Linked DNA regions of Mus musculus: all the other regions are reported to be linked to region 2. The links are microRNA targets in miRTarBase. Many come from high-throughput screens and were not tested one by one. Region 2 holds a microRNA gene; each other region holds the end of a gene's coding sequence.

Region 1 (7,190 bases), not on the chromosome of region 2:
CCAAAAAAATTGAATTTTATAAACCTTTTTGATAAGTAAGATGCTTTCCCCTGGGTGTGGGCACAGTTGTGAGCCGCCTTGTAGGCTCTGGGACTCCAGCTCGGGTCCTCTGGATGGGCAGCTAGTGCCCTTAACACTGGACTACCACCACCTTCAACATGCACACACACGTGCCCGTATGCACATGCGCTCGCGCACACACACAAATGTATGCACACACATATCCACCTACACACAAGGCCACACTGGCCAAAAAGTGAACAGGCTTACCTGGAGAAATGGGATGCAAGAATATTCAGACCAGCCCTGGAGCTGGGTCTGGTGGCCCATGTCTCTCCTCCCAACTGTTCTGGAGTCTGAGACAGAAGAAGCATTGAAAGTTTGCTGTAAACTTCCACAAAATGAATTCAGGGCCAACCTAACAACTTAAACTCTTTCAAAACTGGGAAGTGGGCTGGTGAGATGGCTCAGTTGGTAAGAGTACCCGACTGCTCTTCCGAAGGTCTGGAGTTCAAATCCCAGCAACCACATGGTGGTTCACAACCATCCATAACGAGATCTGACTCCCTCTTCTGGAATGTCTGAAGACAGCTACAGTGTACTTACATATAATAAATAAATAAATCTTTAAAAAAAAAACTGGGAAGTAAAACAGTGCTTAGCGATATTGCTGGGCTGTGCAATGCTGACCTAGAATTCTCCACTTGGGAGCTGGGACACAGCTTAGCAGTAGAGCACTTGACTAGAATATTCCAGTGAATTCTGATTACCTGTCTGGTCCCTGAACCTAAGGTGGAAGGAGAATACTGACTCTTGAGAGTTGTGCTCTGTCCCAACCCAGGCCCTGCCATGGCCTGCTGCCATGTGTGGCTTTCTGCATGGCAAAAGTGGTTATGTCCATCCCAGGGAAGACCGTTGTTGGTTATAGCATTTGGCAAACCCTGCCGACTAAGCACATATTCGTTGTCGTGAGCCTTACATTATTCTTGAACACAGTCAAGGACACTTACGGCAGTCACGAGGTGGAGAGGATCACGTGCCGACAGTCTATTGGCACGTATGCACAAGGCTCTGTGTCACCTGTTTGGTTTTTGTTTCTAGGGACAGAAGCATCACCGTCTACTGTCCAAGAAGCAATACCGGACAAAGAGTAGAGCCAAGCCGACACCCCACACATCAGAATGTAAATCCTTGTTACCCTTCTGTGACACTCGCTCCCCACTGTGGCACATCAGGTCCTTGTAGGCCTCTCCAGTGACAAAAGCTGAAGGCCATCGGGTCTCCCCATGACACCACCTCCGTTTGCATGCATGATGGGCTCTTCCCCTATATCCCTGGCACACAGGCAGACCAGGGTCAGCCACGAGCAAGCTCAGGTCCACAGAAAAACAGCAACATGGCCACTTCCTCACAGGCCATGTCCGGCTTAGAGGGGCTTCTTGTCACTGGGAGCTTGGAGAGGGGACAGCTTACGTCTTTTCTTTTTCCCCCTCCTCAGTCCTTTGCATTTTGTCCTTTGCACAAACTTGTGAGCATCCAAACTCCGCTGGATTCCAACCCAGACTGATGTCCGACTCCACTGTTGGAAAGAACACGAAGGGACAGCTGGCCTCCACACTACACTTTTTGGCAGTTCGATGGGTCCTCTAACTGCATCTTAATAGGTGGTCGTTTGGGTCTTTTGGTTTCCCGTTTTTAAAGTTTCACACAACCAACTTTCCCAAAAAGGATTCCTCCCCCACCCAGCCTGACCCTGAGCTCTGAGCCTTCTGAGAGGAAGCCCCCCCACAGCGCCAGCACACCCCGGTGCGGCTCAGGCTACGCTTTGGTGCTCCAGCTCGGCAGTTCCGTCAGCCAAGGCTACTCCCCAGGATGACAGCTCTCCTTGGAAGGCTGAGGCTGAGCTAGTGCCTTTACTTTCTGACCTGGATGCCAGCCCAAGGCCTCTGTCCACCATCACAAGCCGGGGAGCACCAGAGTTGAAGACAAAGCAGATGGTGCCAGGGACCCAGCTGTTCAGGGGACGTTTTCTTAGGAGCTCCTGTCACCAGGCTCAACCCACCACCTGCAAGAATGGAGCCGGTGTGGAACAGCAACACTACATCCCCAGAGCGAACTTCCTGTGCCATGTCATTTGGGTCACCTCCTGTCAAACCTAGACAAGGCCCCAAGAGGGACAAATATAAAGGAACCGGAAGTGGTTCCTTCTCCGTCTGCCTGCTTCTGCATCCTACTGAACCAGAAAGCAATGGTTCCGTGTGCTACTTACCCAATAGGCCCACTGGATCAGGAAACGAGCTTGGCTCGGTTTAAGACTCTTTATATTTATTACTAACAATCTTTATGCAGCACATGCCCCAGAGATGCTTGGAGCAATCAGGACCAAGGGTAACTAAACAGGCGTGCCCTCCGCTATCAATCTCCACAGATCATCATAGAGCTAACGTGCCATCCCTGGGCATTTCCAGGCTTGGATTCCAAAGCAGGCAGGTTCCTTAAAGCACTGAGGAGCAGGGCAGAGGAGAAAGGGGACCACTGGCTCTAGCACAGTCCCCATCACCACCCACCCACTCTGGCTCCCATGCAGACAGGATGGGGACAGGGGGCACCACGCCTAGCCACAAGCAGGGACAGCACTTTGCAACTCCCTAATGGACCCCTGATCTAAGTGACCTTGTGGGCCAGGGGGGTGGTGGCTTCTTTATCTGTAGTAACACATAGGTGGCAGCCAGCAAGCACTTCTTTGAGCCTGTCCCCATGGGGCAGAGCTCAGCTTCGCTGGGTGATGGGTTGTGAGACTAGTGCTTGATCACTGTGAATCAACCTCCTCCTTCCTGCCCCACTCACCCCCACTCTGTCCCCGGTGGGCACTCCAAAACCTCCCAGAGACCCAGATGATGGCTGTGACATGTGACCTCCACACTGGGCTGAAGGAGTTTTCTGCAGTAGAAACGGGCCCATTCTGGTGCCAGAACAATGTTTTTTGGGTCCAAGGACCAGAACACTCGATGGATGAGTGGCATTGTTGGCTCATTTGTGCCAATGCAGCTGGTCCATGTGTTCACTGCCAGTCAGCTTTTCCTACGGTGGCCATAGAGTCCTTGTCTCTAGAGTCACTCTCATATGTCCCATTGAGATGACATCAAACACAGCAATAGATGGGGGTTTTCTGAATAAATGACGAACCCATATGAAAAGCCACTATCATTTTTAAAAAACCAATAAAATCTGCCTGGGGAGTGAAACAGTGAAAAGCCCCAGCTCGAGGTAAGGCAGCAGCACAGAAGGGTCCCTACCTGCTTCATGTCACATCGGGACTTTGTAATAGCTCGAGTCGGAAGCTGTCCTTCTACAGCCAGGCTGGCTAGCGCACACCTGTAACCTTGGCACTCAGCAGACCGAGGCAGGAAGATCCTGAATTTACATACCTTATCTCAAAAAACAAACAAACAAAAAAATTAAAACAGGTTATATATGTTTGTGTATAGAGATTTATATAACTGGCTTTTAGAGACAGGGTCTTACTGCATAGTCCTGGCTGGCCTCCAACTAGCTTTGTCCACCTTATTGTCCTGAGGTCACAGGGGTTCCCCTTCCTCTGTCTCCTAAATGCTGGGATCAAAGGTGTAAGCTATCTCACCCAGTTGAGACCATAATTTTTTTGGCTCTGCTACTACCTAAACGTGAGTCTTTAAACTGGTGGCTGGTCAAACCAAGCTGGAAATTCTTTTGTTTTTTCCTCTCACCAAAGCAGTTTTTATTTGAGGCAAGGAGAAGTCTGACCCATATGATTACAGTTCTAAGCACTCTTAAGTGTTAGTGGCATGACTTGGGCTATAAAACTTGCTTCTGTTTGGTTGGAAAGGGTATTCGTGATAAAGTCCTCCAGGTGGGTAAGAAGAAAGACCTCAGCTAGTGGTACTGCCCTCCAGATCCTACATCAAACTAACTAACTCTCACCATCTGGTTTGCAAGGTGCCACCCAGTGCAGAGGGACATGGGACACTTGCAAGGGCAGATGAGGCAGAAAGAACAGGTGCAAGTCACTTGAGGAGCAGCTCAAAAGGAACTTCACAGCCTTCCTCCCCACACCCCCAGGCTGCTTAGACTGAAGGCTGCTGCCTTGGGTGTAGCTAGATCCTCAAGGGAGCTGAGGGGCTGGAGAGGTAGCTCAGCAGTTAGTACTCCCCGCTCTTACAGAGGACCCCCAAATCAGCTCCCAGCACCCACATGTGACCACGACCGCCTTCAACTCCAGCCTCAAGGGATCCAATGGCATCTGCTGCATGCGTTCATGCAGAAGTGCCCACATACTTTTAGAGAAAATAACTCCTGAAAAAAAAAATAACTTTAAAGGCAGAAAATTGACAAAATAATGACTTAGGGTGGGGTGAGGAAGAAACTCAAATCCAGCTGTGACTTATATTTAGATAATGCAGTTTCCTGGTGCCTCCAAGGCTAAGCATAAGTGTGTGCATAGGAGATCTACTTCTGTGGGGTTAGGTCATAGCTCAAAAAGGAATTTAAATAGTTATGCCAGGTTTGTCAATGCACAACTATAATCCCAGCATTTGGGAATCCGAGGCAGGAGGAATGTGAGTTCAGGTCTAGCCTGGGCTATATACTAAGACCTTGTCTCAAAAACAAAGATCAGGCTCTAATTTAACTGGCTTATTGCAGTACTGTCCCCAGCACTATCCTCAGATTCCTGTTTTGCCCTGGGAGAATCAAACACATGCAGGGCACCCTGTCTCAGAACTGGTGTGGTAAGTCAGGGTCACAAGTGTTTATCATTCTGGTCACATTAGGGTGCTATGGCCTCTCATCATCGGAGGTATTGGTCCTCATCCTGTGTCTGGGGGAGTTTTTACTTCTTGGTCAGTGACTTAGTTGTAGAAGGGTCCCTGGCACTGTTTGACCCTGAATTTTAATGCTGACCAATGTGTTACTCCCGGTTGCCTTTCCATATCTCTGGAGACCTTGCTAGAAAAGCAAGTCTATGGGCGCAACATTAACCTGCCAATAAGAGTGGCCCTGCCCTCTGCCGTCTTGGATCATCTGTAGTAGCCTTCCAACCAGAGTGGGCTTTGCTTTCTCTCTCCCATCTTTGATCATCTTCCAAGTTGGCTTCCAACAAGGATGAGCTCTGCTCGGTCGATCTTCATCTTGGATCCCCTACATTGGCCTTCCAAAGAGAGGGGCTTTGCCCTCTTTCCACCTTTCAGGTTCTCAGAGACCACACTGTAACATTGGAAACTACCATGACAGCACTTGCCAGGCATTCACAGTGACGCAGAAGAGCTATTTGACTCCCAGGTCCAGCCCAAACCCACGACCAGCAAAGCAGTAATGGAGTGCTTCCCCTCCCAGGAGCCAGAGCCAGGAATGGTGGGTTAGACGTGACTGGATCCAGTTGTGAGGATAGAACCTTCCAGACATGTGTTTCAGGTGACCCTCAACTACCTCAGGTTTGAAGACCCTAAGTTAAACTTGATTACCACTCTAGGGACAAACCGAGGAATCTGGTTAAATCTTGGTGATAACCTAAATGTCTCAAGCTTATAACAAACTCTCAAACCGTGCAGGGATGGGGCTGATTTTTGTTTGTTTATGCCCGCCCCCTTCTGTTTCTAACCTTTTCCACTGTTTTCCATTAGAGTAGTCCCTATAAGTGAATTTCACTTCTCACAAGGTGCCTACCTTCCCAGAGCAGGTAGCCACTGGCTCTTGTTTCCTCCTCACAGGACTTTTATTATGGAATGAAGATCTTTCTTTGTATAATGCATTGCATCTGTGGTTTCAATTTTTTCCAATAAATATGTCAGCCTGGCTGTGGAGAACTCTGGTGATAAAGGGCTGATCAGAGTGCTCTTGAGGGTTGGGCTCCGGCTTCTTGTTTCCATTTTGATATACATGGGGTCAGAATGACACTTCACAATCCTTCACTCTGGTGCTGGGGTATCTGACAACCTCTTCTGACCTCAGGCTCCTGCATATATGTGGTATGCATACATATACTCAGGTGCACACATATACCCATAGGACATATACATTTACAGGGTCTCTCTGTGTGGCCCTGGATGTTCTGAAACTGGCTCTGTAAACCAGCTTGGCCTTGAACTCAGAGGTTCTCCTGCTTCTGCCTTCTCCTTTCTTTTTAGCAAATATTTAAAACAAAACAAAAAACAGAGGGGCTGGAGAGAAGGTTGGCACTTAAAACTTGCTGCTCTTCCTGTGGACCTGGATAGGTTCCCAGGACCCACAGCAGGCAGCTCCCACCTGCCTGTAAGGCCAGTTCCAGGGTCACTGAGACTAGCTTCTGTAGCTGCTTGCACACACTGGTGTATAGTCAGACGAGTATGTGCACACATTTAAAAATAACTAATTTTTATTTACTTAATTAGAGAAACATTGGTTTGTAAGCTGAAAGCGTAGCTCAATGGTGGAGCGCTTGCCTACCAAGCAGAGCTGTGGGTTCTGTTTGCAACATTGCAAACAATAGGGGTGTCGAGGAAGGAGGGCCATAGCAATGCAGACCTGTAACCCCGTCATTAGGAACCTTAGGCAGGAGGATTATACATCTGAGAGTAGTCTGGGCTGCACAGTGGTTCTCTGCTTTAGTATCCTAGAAAACGGGGTGTAGCACGGTTGGAACAGTGAGCGCCTAGCATGGGGCCAGGGGGTTTAGTGAAGAATGGCAAAAGTCCATGTTGGCTGAGAGGGATCAAAGTGCAGAAAAGATATCTGAAGGGGGCATTCATTGCATTGCCTTGCATCATCAGAGGTCACACAATCCCCAAGTGGCTGGCTGCACACTGAAAAGCCAGGGAACTCACTTGTTGCTCACATGCAAGAAGCCGGAAACCGGGCTGGTGAGATGGCTCAGTGGTTAAGAGCGCCGACTGCTCTTCCAAAGGTCCCGAGTTCAAATCCCAGCAACCACATGGTGGCTCACAACCATCCGTAATGAAATCTGATGCCCTCTTCTGGAGTATCTGAAGACAACTACAGTGTACTTACATTAAATAAATAAATATTAAAAAAAAAAAAAAAAAAAAAGAAGCCGGAAACCTCTTCACAAGAGGGATGGACGATCCAGCCACAGTCAGTCTAAAGAAGCTAAAGTCTGATGTACAAGGCAGCAAGAGACGCACTTTCTGGGGAAGATAGAGGGGCACACAGTGGCTGGC
Region 2 (7,190 bases):
TTAGTCAAGACCAGCCCTCAGAGCTTTGTGAGAAGACCCCTCCTGCAGTATTGGGATGCCAGTGAGATCAGGGTCTGGACCTGAAGCCACAGTCAAGCTCCCATGTTCCTGGCTAGCACCTGCAGCCCTCAGCTCACCTTGGGAGGACCCTACAGACACCAGCAAATGAGGCTGGGGAAATGGCATGTGTTTGTCACAGAAGTGAAAGCCAAGGCTCCATAGCCTCGGGCCCAGGAAGAAGTCTGCAGAGTGCTGGAGGAATGCCAGCCAGTCTCCACTCACACCACCACACTCCTCCACCAGGCTTTCTCAAACCCCAGGCAGGACCTCGTGTGTGGAAACTAGAAAAATTTGAAAATATTGACTCCTGAGTGGGAGGTACCACACCTGAACCAACCCACAAACGCTGGCCGGCCTCCAGGGGAAGCAGAGATGGGGTAGGAACTCCCGCCCACCTCGGAGGGAGGCAGGGAGTGGGCGGGACTCACTTAAGGCAGTGAGGTGGAGGCCCCTCAGGGGCCCCTTGTGTTCCCAATGGTAGCTTTCCACTTTGGGGAAACTTCCACTCTGTGACTGACATTGAAAGCAACAGGGCTGAGAGCTCAGAGCTGCCCAGAGCACAGAGCTATGAGGACCTCACTCAGTCCTATAACGAGAAGCAGGAGGCATTTGGCAAATCAAGTAAGAGCAACACTTGGGACAACCAATCAATTAAGTACAACCGGGGAAAGTCCTTCTCCCAAGGCTCTGGAGAGGAAGAGCAGCAGCCGAGAAGGATAAAGGCGAGAGCAGACGAGAGCTGGCCAGGGCGGGACACCAGGAAGACACAGAGGGAGAGCCAAGCCCTCCCCAGCCTTTGGAGCTAATGTCCTTGCATCAGCTAGCACAGAACCCCTGAAGAGCACTTTTGGGATCTACACGCAAGGAGACAGACATCTTGCATTGAACATTTGCATTTTCTTTGTACCCCAGCGCTTCCCACACAAACCTCAGGCCCAGGACTGGAGCTCGGGCGAATATAAACCACTCCAAGTTTAGAAAGAGATTTTTAAGAGTTAAAAGAACAGAAATCAGCTATATGTCCTCCTCCAGGGCAGAGAGAAGACCTCCTTTCCCATGGGAGTAGGACTATGGCTTGGGAGTGAGAGGCTGGCCTGGCACTGGAGCCCGGGTACAGAGAAGTGCCCATGGCAGGCATTCTTGCTGGAGCCAGGTGTAGCCCATAGGACACAGAACCTGGTGGGTCTGCGAACATGCTCTCATATTCCCAAACATGTCTGCAGCTGCTGGCTAGGTTTCTGTGTTTTCTGAAAGATGTGTGTCTGGGCATCCAAAGCAGCCTCCGGCCTCTCCCTTCTCCTTGGCACAGGTCTTGATGCTGAGGGAAAGCCATGGTTTGGCGAGGGAGCCTACAATAGTTTTCATGGCTGTAAAGCTCAGTAGCTCACAGCATAGCAGGAAAGAAGACAAATGACTTGGGTTGAGTCCTTATCTTTCAGCTTCTCCCCCTACTGCACAACTGGGCACCCAGGACCATAGTTTACCGGACGGGCACATGCACGCACACACACCCACACAACCACCTGGGAACTGAGCACGGGGTGCAGAGAGCTCTGGGTCTTGGTCTGATTTCCTGCTCTGCGTGTGACCTGCTTTTGTCCCACACGCCCTGGCTACTTGCAGACCCCGTCAGTGAGGCTGACCACAAAGGCACAGTGTAGCAGAGTCCCCTGTTGGGATGGCCGTTTCTTGGAGCAGGAAGGCTAAGGGGCCCGCAGCTGCCCAAGGCTGGTGTAGACATCATCAGTTCCACTTAGCTCCTCGAAGACTGGAATCAGGTTCAGCAACTCTGTATCTGCCATGTCATCAAACCAGGACTGCACAGGCACCTGGGGCAGGAAAAAGTGACATTATCTGATATTTCCTTTCCTTTCCAGTGCCATTGGAGGCTGCTGGGCCACACAGGGGTTGTGGACTCCTCTGATAAAGCCCACGGGCCCAGCCTGCAGCCACCCCAGTCCCTGATGCGAGCACTCACTGCATTTTCTGGGTGGAAGATGTAAGATGCAGGGGAGTTGTCCAGGATGACAGTTTTCCTCAGGTCCCTTCCCAGGCGGCTGAGGTCCTTGACATAGCAGCCCTGGTGGAACACACAAGCCTCTCGGAACAGGCGGGCCCGGAACACCCCGCACCGGTCCAGGAGATCAGTCACAGGGTCAGCATACTGGAAAAGAAGGAGAAGCTTTAGCCTAGGCTGAGGGCTGGCTCTCCCCTGCCTTCTGCCCCTCCTGCAGTCAGGTACCTTGGCCAAGCTGGCAGTGAAGAGAACACATTCGAAGAGCTCCCCCATCCGTCTCAGGAACTCATCGACGTAAGGCCTCTTGAGCACATATACCTGGGAGACAGAGTGGATTGCTGTAGGAACCCCACAAGGCCAAGGACACAGCACCGGCTCTGCCTGTGCACTGACAGAAAAGCAAGCAGGCCTAGATACCCAGGTCGAGACACTGAGACCTCTGCCCCACCATGGACAGCTCTACCATGTTACCAGGCTTCTGCTGCCTCAACAGGCCCAACCCTAACCCGGCAGGAAGGAATGCACTCCCAGGAGCCATCTTCATTGAGGGCAGACCATGCGCTGCCTCCAGAAACAAGTAATCAAGAACAGGCCTCATGGACGGACACAGCCTATCCTGGATTACTTGAATCCAGCCGCAGCCTCCACAGTAGCCTTCTGTACGGGATTCCAGCAGGACGGCTTGTGTAGGTCCCATCTGGCAAGAACCACAAACTTCTTCAAACACACACCCTCGTAGGTTTGTGTGCACACCACCAGCTTCGAGGACTTGCTCGCTTTTAAAGGTTCTTCAACTAACTCGCCACCCAGTCTATGATCTGCTGCTTCTTCTTTCTTTCTTACTTCAGCCTGCACAAGTGTTCCTTAGGCCCACTCACTCACTTCCTTAAAGCAGCACAGGGGGTGTGCCCACCCCAGTCCCTCCTAGCCCACATCAGCACCAACTGAGCAGAGCCCTCCCATTTAGCAGCAGAACCCTCCATGCAGCTGCAAATGGATCTATCCATCACCTTCCACTTCTTAAGCCTCACAAACAAGCCCCTTCCTCACCAAGCATTGCTCTCCTCCCAGGCTCTCCTCAGATCCACATGGCAGGCAGCCCTCTCACTCAGGCCCCTTCTGCCCATGCCAGAGCCCCATACATTCTGTACATTTCTATTTCCTCAACTAGACAGCAGGGGGTGATGGGTGGAGTAAAGAGCCACAGCTTCGAGGCTCTGTACAGAAGTTCGTAAAGGGGCAGAGGGCTACGATGACAAACCCAGGACAGTCTCAAGCTGAACTTTCTCAGTCTGAAAACAGGTCTCATGCTTGCTAGGATGTCTGCATCACTGTCTCCGGCCCTCCCCTGGGCCGACCAGCATGCCTCTGGGCACATGGTCTCTCACCAATGCCTCGTGGTCCTTAACCCTAGGCAGCAGGGTGTACACGGCAGAGCCTGGACTCTGCCACTCTGACAGATGCATATGGAGCACTTACAGAAACCAGTGTAGAGGTCAGAAAGGTGTCATAGGAGGGGCCTGGGCCAGGGAAGACACATTCAGTAGCTCTTCACCAGAGGGCACAGGAGCAAATCCTAACAGCCCTGCACACAGAGCAAGGCTCGCCTGGTCTAAGCATGGACTGCATGGGCTGGACAGCATATGCTCTTCATTGAGGAGCTGGGTTCAATTCCCAGCAACCCCTGGCAGCTCACAACTGTAACTCTGGTTCCAGGGGATTCGACACCCTCACACAGACACACACGCAGGCAAAACCAGTAATGCACATTTAAAAAGCCACAGTGATGGCTAGGACTATGATGTGAAAATGCCAGGGGCTGCACACAATGGTGAAGGCCTTTAATTAACTCCAGCCCTCTGTGAGGTCCAAGTCAGCTAGAATTAAATAAAGAGACCCTATCCTGGGCTGGAGAGATGGCTCAGTGGTTAAGAGCATTGACTGCTCTTCTGAGGTCCTGAGTTCAAATCCCAGCAACCACATGGTGGCTCACAACCATCTCTAATGGAATCCAATGCCCTCTTCTGGTGTGTCTGAATACAGTTAAGTGTACTCATATACATAAAACAAATAATTCTTTAAAAATATTTTTAAAAAAGCCAACAGTTCTTGCAAACAGCCTGACTACATAGAGACAGGAGTGTTGGCTAGAGGGAAGTGTGGATGATCTGGAGACAAGCCATCAACAAACATGGAAGCTGATGATAAACAGGTTGAGAGGCAGTTTCCCTTTGAGGCAGGGTGTATGCTGGCAAACAGCTCACCTGGTGCGTGGTCCCCTCAATCTCTACAGGCACTATGAAGTCAGCATTGTTGATCGGCTAGAAGGCAGAAGTGCACAGTGTCAGCAGACAGGAAACCCTACCCCCTGGAGACAGCCCACTGAGCAGTTCTTAGCCAGCACAGGGCAAAAAGTATCACATATTTTCCGGTTTCCCTTCTCCTTCATCCACCCATCCATCCTACCCACCAAATTCTACCTGAGGTAAGTTTCAGGGCTTTTGAGATGGGGTCTTGCTACATAGTCTGGGCTAGCCTTCACCTCCTGCTCTCATGAGCTATGCACACAGGCATGCATGCCTGGCTCTTTGGGCTAGCCGTGTTCATCTCCTGTTTCCGTGAGCTATGCACACAAGCATGCATGCCTGGCTCTTTCAAGACTGACTGGCTCTTACTGGGTAACTCATGTTATTCTGGAACTTGTGATTTCCCTGCCTCAGTTTCCCAAGCACAGGGATTGTGGAAGTTCCCTCTGCACCCAACTTAAGGCTTTCTTGAGTTAACAAACGCACCAGTCAGGAAAACCAGATAATGCTTACCTACTTTTTCCACGGTAAGTCGAGACAGACACAGCATTTAGGGTGGGGTGTGTGTGTGTGTGTGTGTGTGTGTGTGTGTGTGTGTGTGTGCCTTAACCTCTTCAGTTTGGCCTCTGGGTATCTGTGACTCCAGGGTGGCCGACAGCCTGTCCTGTCCCTGTCATTTCCACGTTCATCTGCTCACCTTACTGACCCTGCTGTGCGGCTCACACAGGCCCAAGGGAAGGGTACCACGCTGACTCACCTTAAAGGAACTGTGCACAAGGGTCTCATCCAGGTCAATGACCACGCAGATCCTGCCTTGATCTTGCTCTGTCACCTCGGGGAGCAGGCAGGTCCCAGGGATCTAAAAGCAGAGCCAAGCTGCTGAGCTGTGCCCAACAAGAAGTAAGCCCAATCGCCCCTCAGCACAACACTGGGAAGAGCCAAGCTGCCTGCAGACAGTCATCAACACAGGAAGGTCCTGCTTAAAAGCAGAGAGCAGAGGCAGCGGGGTCTAAAGACTACTAAGGCTGTGGGAACATTTGGTGTCATTCTGGGATGGTAGGGAGTAGACAGCAGAGATGGGAAGAGGGTGTGTGCCTGTCCCGAAAGTTTTACAGGGCCCTGGCAAATACTCAGCACAAAGAGTGGGGAGGTGCTCAGGACAGGAGAGTAACTGCTCTGCCTGCCTGCCAGGCTAGTCAGGGCCTACAGGGTCAGCCACCTCAACGAACCTGATAAAACTGGTACTGGAGACACTGGAGGAGATCGGACTGTGGGAGACAAAGGATGTGGTAAGTGTTAATTTATCAACTACAGCCTTTCTAAGCAAAACACTGCCTGTGATCTGCTCTCCGAGAACCCAGCCACCCACCGCTCCCCACAGGACAAGCACGGCCTTCCTGAGGAGCTGGTCAGGAGGGGAAGCCGCCTCTCCACACATGGCTCTCAGGGACTGAGGTCTGAGCTCCTCCCTGCAGGGCTAACCTCTTGCCCTCTCGGGAAACACTGAGGTGCCCATGAATATGAAGGGGGGTGGAGTCACAAAGGGACAACACCAAAAATGTTGTAAGAAGTACTAATGTCCTAATGTGAGACTTGAAAAAAAAATCTAAAATTCCAGAACTTACAAAAACCTAAGATGTTATCTGAGCATGTACCTTTCAAAAATGGGCTAGTATTTCCCCAGGGTAATATATGATTTTACATTTTGCTTTTGACTTACAAGTGGTTCATAGTAGCATAACAACAAATTGCTAGTAGGGTCTTTGTTTGTTGCTGTCTTTGTTTTGAAACAGGGTTTCACTACATAGCTCTGGCTGGCCTGACACTTGCTGGCCTTAAACTCAGAGGGATCCACCTGCCTCCTGAATGCTGGGTTATTCAGAGCCTGGCAGTTTTATGGCTCAGAGGCAGTTCTGGAAACAAGACAATAAAAACCACAGGCTTCACAGCCAGATAATTGAGTTCCAACCCCACCACTATCAACAATTAACAAGCGGTTCACTTTCCACATCTGCAGGGCACCTTTCCGGAGCCATGGAATCTGCAGTGTCTGGACAGCCATCCCCACAGATGATAAGTATCAAGAAGGAGACAGACTACTAAGGGCAAAGAGTTAAGGGCCCCTGGGCCAGGGACTTTCACGACACTAGCCCAAGCCAGAATATGCACCACACCCCATCCTGCTGCTACCTTGGCGATGGTGTTGGCCTCCTCCTTGTGTGTGAGCTCAGTGGAAGAGCTGGACTGGACAACATGCTGTGTGTGGAAACAGCACAAGAGGGCCTTGAAGATGCTGCGGCCACGGGGTTTCTTAGGCGAGGACTTGGAGACTAGGCCTAGAGAAGAAAGGAAGGACAGATGGAGGCATTAGCTACAGGGATACTGTCAGTCTCCACATGTCCATACGCTCTCAAGTCTAGGTTCTGCAGGGGTACAGCACACACCTGCTGAACAGCCTCTGAGAGTGACACACACCATATATAGAGCACACACCTGCTAAAGAGCCATACACACTGACAATGGAGCGCGTGCACACACCCTTGCATGAGGACACAGTGAACCCCACTCTCTGGTTGGGGGAGATCTGAGCTGCCCAGGCTTCGTTCTTCATGCTATGGCAGGTCTCAAGGGGATCTCAAGGTAGGCCGGGTGTTCTGTGACCCAGCACCAGCACACTGCCATCAAAATGAGCTTCTGAGGCCCTACGTTCTCCTGACACAGGAGAGCAACTCGGTCCCCTGGAGTCAGTGGAGCCATGATTCAGATCAGTGTCGCTTCCCCAGACCCTGGATCAGCAACCACCATGC
Region 3 (7,190 bases), not on the chromosome of region 2:
GCATCCATGCAAAATGGGCTAGCAGACTGAACTTCATTTTGAGCTGTGCTACAGTGTGGGGCTCTGTAGGGCTGTCAGGGAGTACTCTATCTAGCAGTGAGCTGAGGCTTGCTTCCGTTCTGCTTTCCCTTCCATGTGGATTTGATGCTTACCTTTGTCTTTGTACCTCTGATACCTGAGTACATTTTGATGGCAAGAGAATGAACATTGTCTGGATTCTGTGTGGTCGTCATGTTGCAGAGTGCCTGTTCTGTAAACGGGCTCAATGGCCTCCTGCCTGAGAAGTGCTGGTGCTCATGCATGACACAGGATGCTGCAAGTAGCAATGCACACAGCTGCTGTCGGGGGACATTGCTGCTTCTGTTTCCTGTGAAGTTTGTTTATGCTGTCTAAAAGGAATTGGAGCACTTAAAGAATGATCTGATTTCACTTATTCTTTTCCAGATGCTTCACAGCTTCATGGTAAAGGGCCTGTTGTACCGAGGAAATTGTGACCACTTTGGAGGATGGAACTGAATGACATAGGTCTAGGAGGAAGCCCAACATGTATGTCTCTGATAACAGACATTTGCTGTGCTCTTCATGCCCACTGCTTTTCTTCTGGAGCAGGCGTGAGTTTGAAATGGAGCACTTCTTAGCACTTCAGATGGGCCTCCAACCAAGGCAGCTTCTGCTGCTCACAAAGCGCTTACTGACCTGGTGCTCTAGGCCTCATGGCTTTGTCGCTGGACGACATCAAGGGGCAGCTCTGTGCTGGGAAGTGTACCTAGACTGTGTTGGGAAGTATAGTGTACATGTGTACCTGTGGCAGATCTGTTGGCCACTGGGTTCTAGATCTGCCTAACTCCTGGCATTTGGTGTGTCTCGGAGTTCCCTACTGGTCAGGGTCTCCTGGCCACAGTAGAATCCCTGGATGGTTGTGATTCCGTCCCATCCTCAGGCTGTGTACTCAAGAGGACAATACCCAGGCCAGAGCCGCATGTGGGGGACCTTGCAAAATACTAAGAACACATAATGTGTGCTCCTTGTAGGGGCCAGTTTCTCCTCAGAACATGACAATGAAGCTCTTATAGAGAAAAAGATCTTTATAGATTCAACAATCGTGGTAGGATTTTTAAAGACACCTATCTTGGGCTGTTTTCGTCATTACCATTGAATGCGTTGGATAGAATGGGACTGCTCTTCACACATCACATTATAGGAAGACTTAATTCCAGTGCCTTTTGGTGGAGCAGACTTTGACAACTCACACCTATCCATTCAGCCCACTGAATGGATCTGAGATGAAGATCTTTTTTTAAAGCTAGTCTGTATTTAAGACAGTTTTATTTAATTGGGTTTTTTAATGACTGCACACCATAACCTGTGCCGTCTTGACTTGAAAGTCATCTGAGCCCCCAAGCCCCCCCAAATCCCAGGTTCCCAGCTCTGATTTGTTTTTGTAGAGTTGATGCAGGTGGACTACAGTGGAGCCCCTCAGCCCTCTGTGTCTGAGAGCCCAGGGGTTCTAAGCTACAGGTAGACATTCCACTTTGTCTTACTCTTAGAAATCTCTCTCTGGCAGAGCTGTAGGACAGTTCTCTCTGAAGCATCTGCCACAGAGAACAGGTCTGGGGTGCTGGTGTCCTCTGCACAGCGAGCTTCTGTGTAGACTTAGGAGGGATGTCCAGAGGGTCTGGAGAGTAGACAGAGGACAGAGATAGTTGACTACAGAGCTTCCATCATCAGGCTGTCACACTTACCCAGTGGCTATTTCATATGGACTCGGAGGGCTGTTTCCTATCCTATAAATCTGCCTCGCAGTGGGTTTGGCTGACTGCCTAGCCAGACCACATTTGGGGAGGTGATCAGCACTCTCGGTATGCACCCTAGGGTGGGTCAAGTGTGCTTTTGGTTCCTGCCTCAAGGGTATGGAGCTCAGTAGCCCTCTATTCCTGTGGAGGTGGCCACCTTTCCACCTTACTGGGAGCAGGACCTTTGTCAGCTCTTTGGTCTGGCCTTTGCTCTGACTCCTTTTGTATGGAAGAACCAATTGTTTTCACATTGGCCATGTGGACTCCTTATCCTTTTATTACATATATTTTTTTGCAACTTGGATTTCCAGTTTGTTTACAGAATAGTCTTAGGTAGTAGCAAAAAGAGCCAAAGAAGAGATTTGTATAGCTGAGCTCTAAGCCAAGCTGAGGCCGCCAGCAAAGCTGAGCAGTGGGAACTCTCCAGGCTCCTCTGCCCGTCAGACAGCGGGCCCTAGCACCCCACCCCTTTGGTGCTCCCTCCTCCCCATGTGCCACTGCTTGTGCAGCTAGAGCAGGATGCCCTCATCTTTAGGAATCTAGTGATGCCTCTTGCCTCAGGGAAATGTTTCTTTGATGGGGAGTTTATGAGATTTCTTTTCCTTGTTTATGCTTTATTTGTGGTAATGAACGAGTGAATGACTTTAACAGCCATGGCCAGGGAGACCTATGGCCCGGCTTCAGCAGAGGGTGGAGGTAGAGCAAGCTCAGTGGGATGCAAGGGTTTCTTTGGTGGGTGCAAGGTTCTGAGACTTAACCAGGCGTGGCCGTTTCTTAGGTGTGAGAGGGGCTTTTGTGCCGCAACTATGTTGGTGTTAGGGGGTGGTGTGGAAATTGTTAATCTTGTATAAAGCAACTCAATAAATTGTTTTGAGGTTTCCAAGATGTCTTTCCTCATTTTTTCATTACTATTTTATTTGCAATATTTTATTTATTTTATTATTCTTCAGTACATAGGAGCCCTGGTGTTCATGGAATGCCCGCCCATTGTGGCTGAGAGCCAAGGTTCAGGCTCATATGTAAAGGAGTCATACTTGCTGTGAGTTAGAGTCAAGCCACCAGATTTTTATTTTCATGCCATAAAGTTCCCTATCACTTCCCATTTTCTTACATAATACATGAAATACAGAGAAGCAGAAATTTGTTTGGTGAACAATCAACTTTTGTATATCTAAATGCCAATGCGATAATGATGAAGACTTCTAAGGCACTGAAAGTAAGGCTAGCACACCATCCATTACTAAGATCTTTTCAGAACTAGCAAACTGTTGTTGGTGCCTGTCTTTCTGGCACATCCTGGCTAGTTATTCTAGCACCAAGAGCCAGGCATTGTGGATTCTGGACACATGTTCTAGTGTAGAGCCCTGTTCAATGAGAAAAGTCACTACTGAGCAGGCACTGTTGATAGTTTGATCCCAGTCAGAAAAATGGAATGGCAAGAAGGAAGGTCAGCAGCCCCAGTGGACCAGTCTTGTTGAGTTGAAAGAGGCAGAAAGGTTATTAAGTCATCAGAGGTGGGAGCAGGTCACTCACTCAGACTGGATGAGGCTGAGCTGAGAGATGCTACCCAGCTAGTGTCTGCTGGTATTACAGTAGCTGCACTGTAAGCAGCCTGATACAATGTGGATAAAACACTTAGCTCAGAAGTCTATATGAAGGCTCGGGAGCAGAAGACACCCAGGAAGTTGCTGAGAATGAGTTAACCATCTCCATCTTTAAGATAATCCAGCTCCAAGAAAAGCCAGGAAGAAGGGCTGGGCCTACTTCTGCCCAGACACCAAGACTGCCAGCTCCTGAATGGACATATCCTTGTTGACATAGCGGTCATATTGAGCAGCGGTTAGCCTGCCACTCTGAAGAGCGTCCTCAATGGAGAACTTCTTGCCTGACTTCCTGTCATGAATTACTGATGACTCCCCATTAGGACCTTTCACTGATATCTCCTCCCAGTCGCACTCCTGGCTTCTGAGCTTCACAAACATTTTCCAGTCGATAAGCCCAGCCCGGTGAGCCTCCTCTGGGGACAGCTCACGACCTGTGTCAGGGTCTATGACCACTATGGAGCGCCTCAGGTGGTTCTCCCTCTGCTCTCTCTTGACAGCCACAGAGCCCAGGCGCCTCTGTAGTTCATCGATCTCCAGATCCTTGTCCTTGGACATCTTCTTGAGGTCATCCAGTTCCTTCTCTAGGGACCACAGCCTAGAGTTTAGGTGGGTCCCAGAGTCTATCGTGGTTATGTTCTTCAGATCTCGAGTTTCTGTTGCTGCCATCTCAATCTCTGATTGGAGTCTCCGGGTCTCTAGCTGCAGGTTTTGCCGCTCTAGCTGTAGCTTGTGGTTTTCTTCTCTCAGGAAGTCCAGTTCCTTGGATGACTTGGAATTATAGAATTCTAGCTCAGATAACTTGGCTTCTAGCCGGGTCACCTCTGAATCCAGCTCCCTCTTGCTCTGGCTCTCCTCTTCCAGGCTCTTCTTGAGGCGCTGGATCTCTTGCTCAGTGTCACCTTTTTCTACCTGGACACTCTCAGAGAAGACCACCTTTTCTTTGATCTCTGCCTTCTCCAGGGCAGCCAACTTTCTACGCAGCGGCTCAAGCTCACCCTCCAGTAGCTGCCTCCGGTGCCGCTCTTCCTCCAGCTGGGCTCGGAGCAGGGCATGCTCCCTGGTCTGCTGTGGGTCCTGCTGCAGCACCACCTTTTGTGTGTGGGTCACCTTCTCACCAGTCTTGGCCTCCTCCTGCTCCAATGCAGCCAGCCGCTGTTGCAGCCTCTGTACCTCCAGCTCGGCTGCCCTACGTGCCTGCCTCTCCCGCTCCAGCTCCTCCAACTGCCTCTCCAGCTCTGCTCGGCGATGCTGTAACCGCCGTAGCTCCACATGCAGTTTATCAATCTGCCGCAGCTCAGCATCAATGCTGTTTGTGAAGGCAGTCACCTCAGCTCGCAAATCTGGCTCATCTTCATACTGTACTACCTCCTGGCGTACAACCCTTTCCTTCCCCTGTGCCAGCTCTTCCTCCTTGCGTTTGATCTTCTCTTCCTGGGATGCCCGCTCCCCTTCCAGGTCCACCTGTTTCTTCTGTTCTTCTGACAGCTGTATACGCAGAGACTCTACCTCCTTCTTGGTTTGGGGGTCTTCCTGGAACTGCAGGATCTCCTGGACTACCTCTCTAGTCTGCACCTGTGGCTTGGTGTCCTTAAGGGCCTGGATCTCCTGCTTCAGCTGGTAAATCTCTAGGTCACACCTTTCTATTAACCTGGTCTTGTCCATGATCTCCTCCCTGAGCCTCTGGAGTTCCTGCTCTGTCTCTGGGTCAGTTGTATATTTAATGACCTCTTTGGTCACCTCTTTGACTTCTACCTGTGGTCCACGGTTCCGTAGGGCCTCCAGCTCACTCTGGTAGCTCTTCAGCTGCTCCTCAGCACCCCTGAATTTGCGCTCCTGCTCCACCAGCTCCAGGCGGAGGTTGGCCACTTCACTCTCTGCCTTGGGATCTGGCCGCACGATCTCTCGGACCTTCTCCTGTACCACCACCTTAGCATTTTCCTCTTCCAGGGCCCATATCTTTCTGAGAAGTTCTGTCTTCTCCCGCTGGCCAGAGCGTGCCTTGGCAGCCTCGTCCTCATACTGGCGGGTGAGGTCATTGACTTCTCTCTCCACAGCTGCATCTTTCTCTACCTTGAGCACCTCTTTGACAGTGATCTTGCCTTCTGCCATGGCTCGTTCTTTCTCCAGTCTCCTGAGCTTAGCCTGTAGGAAACTCAGCTCCTCCTCCTGCTTCTCCCTGAGTGTGCCCTCCCGCTGGTGCTCCTCCTGCAGCCTCCGGTATTCTGCCTCCAGTTGGGGGTCATTCTGTAGCTTTACCACCTCTCTCTCAGTGACCTTTTCCTGCACCCTGCTCTTCTCAGCAGCCAGGGCTGCTACACGCTGCTGTAAGAGTAGCACTTCAGCCTCTCGGGCGCCTTTCTGGCGCCGCAGTGCCTCCAGCTCCTCCCGAAGCTGCAAGACCTCATCCTCCTGGGCTCTGTCTGGCTCAATGCGCAAGACCTCCTTGACCACATACTCCTGTCCCCCATCCCTGGTCTCCTGCTCTAGAGCCTGCAGCCGGAGCTGCAGTGCTCCCAGCTCCTCCTGCAATAGCTGGTTCTTGTGCTGTTCCTCAGCCAGCGTCTGCTGCAGCTGCTGGAAGCTCTCCTCCAGGGCAGGGTCTGGCACCTTCTTCAGCACCTCCTTCCTCACCAATGACTCCTGAGGCCCCTGATCCTTCAGGGTCTGGATTTCCTCCTGGGCACTCTTGACCTCATTTTCCAGCTGTTGCCTTCGCTCTATCTCCTCCTCCAGTTCCTTCTTAATCTTCCATGTTTCCTCCATGCCAGAGCTTAGCTTTCCCCCTTGTAGGGTCTCATGGGTCACTCCTGCTTCTGGTTGCTGTGGCAGAAAAGACAACGAATGCATGGTTAAGAAACAAACAGATGAGGTGGAGCCCAGGCAACCCTAGTGAAGGTTGTGGTAGACTTGGGCACGGGAGGACCTGGGCAAGCACAGGCAGCTGGGGAGGCAGCCATAAGCTGCCATCATTCTGCCGAGTGGTCCAAGATGGAAAGTTGGAAACCAATTACTAGCAAAGATGATTTAATATTTAATATCATGTCCAGAAAAACTAAACAACTTCCAGAGTCAGACAGGTGATTTGAACTGTGAACCCTGTACCACAACATGGGGCGCACTAGTTGGTTTTGTTCTGGGTGGTCTGTACCCTGCCCTTTTGGCTATACCCTGAATGGGGCCTTGCTGCCAGGTATGAATCAAGCTCACTGCCACAGAGAGGAAACATCTTCAATTACTGGATTTCAGCTTCTAAGCCTGTCTTTAGAAAAATGTTATTTCCTACTTTACTTGATCAGACTGTGTTTGCAGCATATCTTGGGTCTAGACAATATAAACTCCTCATAAAGGCCTTCAGTGTTACCTGAACCTGACTTAGAAATTCATTAATTTGAAGCAAATAAAATGGTGAGAGAGAGAGAGAGAGAGAGAGAGAAAAGAGAGAGAGAGAGAGAGAGAAGATAGATACAGGTCTGATCACCCAGACCAGGATGGGCTGATCTTCTGGGGTCTCCCTCCACTAATGCTCTAGGGTTACTTTTTAAAGCTTTTAAAAATTGAATAAGGCAAAATGTTTTGTAGGCACAGAGGAGTCTGAAGTGACACCAGTTTCCCATCTCTGCCCTGTCCCTAGGGGATGTCTGTTGTCCTTGGAGACATTTTTTTTTTTTTTTTTTTAGGTATATGTTTTGGTGAAGCACCAGGTGATTGCTTTTTCTATGCAAACAGTTGTTGTTTTGCAGTTTCTGACTGGAGGGGCAGAGTACCATCTTGGCTCAGAAGGTGCCACAACATT

Evidence for each region. The annotated mature microRNA mmu-miR-26a-5p reads UUCAAGUAAUCCAGGAUAGGCU and lies in region 2 at 2,686-2,707, opposite strand. An mRNA with a match to its seed (bases 2 to 7 or 8) in the 3' UTR can be bound and repressed. Matches are read on the target gene's strand: a 7mer-m8 pairs with bases 2 to 8, a 7mer-A1 pairs with bases 2 to 7 and ends in A, and an 8mer does both.
Region 1: miRTarBase lists Hip1 as a target of mmu-miR-26a-5p. The part of its 3' UTR that is shown has no 7-base or 8-base seed match.
Region 3: the mRNA of Ubn1 is a reported target of mmu-miR-26a-5p. Seed matches in the 3' UTR shown: 7mer-A1 at 1,377-1,383.

What each region holds. Positions count from the first base shown.
Region 1 is chr5:135,405,181-135,412,370 of GRCm38, reverse strand. It overlaps Hip1 (huntingtin interacting protein 1), which reads left to right. Exons shown (of 31, transcript NM_146001.2): 31 at 1,102-5,853. The coding sequence ends at 1,154. Among named protein-coding and RNA genes, the nearest start is that of Pom121, 14 kb to the right of the region's middle.
Region 2 is chr10:126,991,060-126,998,249 of GRCm38, reverse strand. Mir26a-2 (microRNA 26a-2) reads right to left here and starts at 2,720; the gene lies at 2,637-2,720. Ctdsp2 (CTD (carboxy-terminal domain, RNA polymerase II, polypeptide A) small phosphatase 2) reads right to left here. Exons shown (of 8, transcript NM_001113470.1): 2 at 6,574-6,719; 3 at 5,613-5,651; 4 at 5,141-5,242; 5 at 4,342-4,398; 6 at 2,303-2,395; 7 at 2,039-2,224; 8 at 1-1,889. The coding sequence ends at 1,764.
Region 3 is chr16:5,083,612-5,090,801 of GRCm38, forward strand. It overlaps Ubn1 (ubinuclein 1), which reads left to right. Exons shown (of 19, transcript NM_026666.4): 19 at 445-2,678. The coding sequence ends at 494. Ppl (periplakin) reads right to left here. Exons shown (of 22, transcript NM_008909.2): 22 at 2,680-6,217. The coding sequence ends at 3,554. It also overlaps the pseudogene Gm52254. Among named protein-coding and RNA genes, the nearest start is that of Gm23483, 26 kb to the left of the region's middle.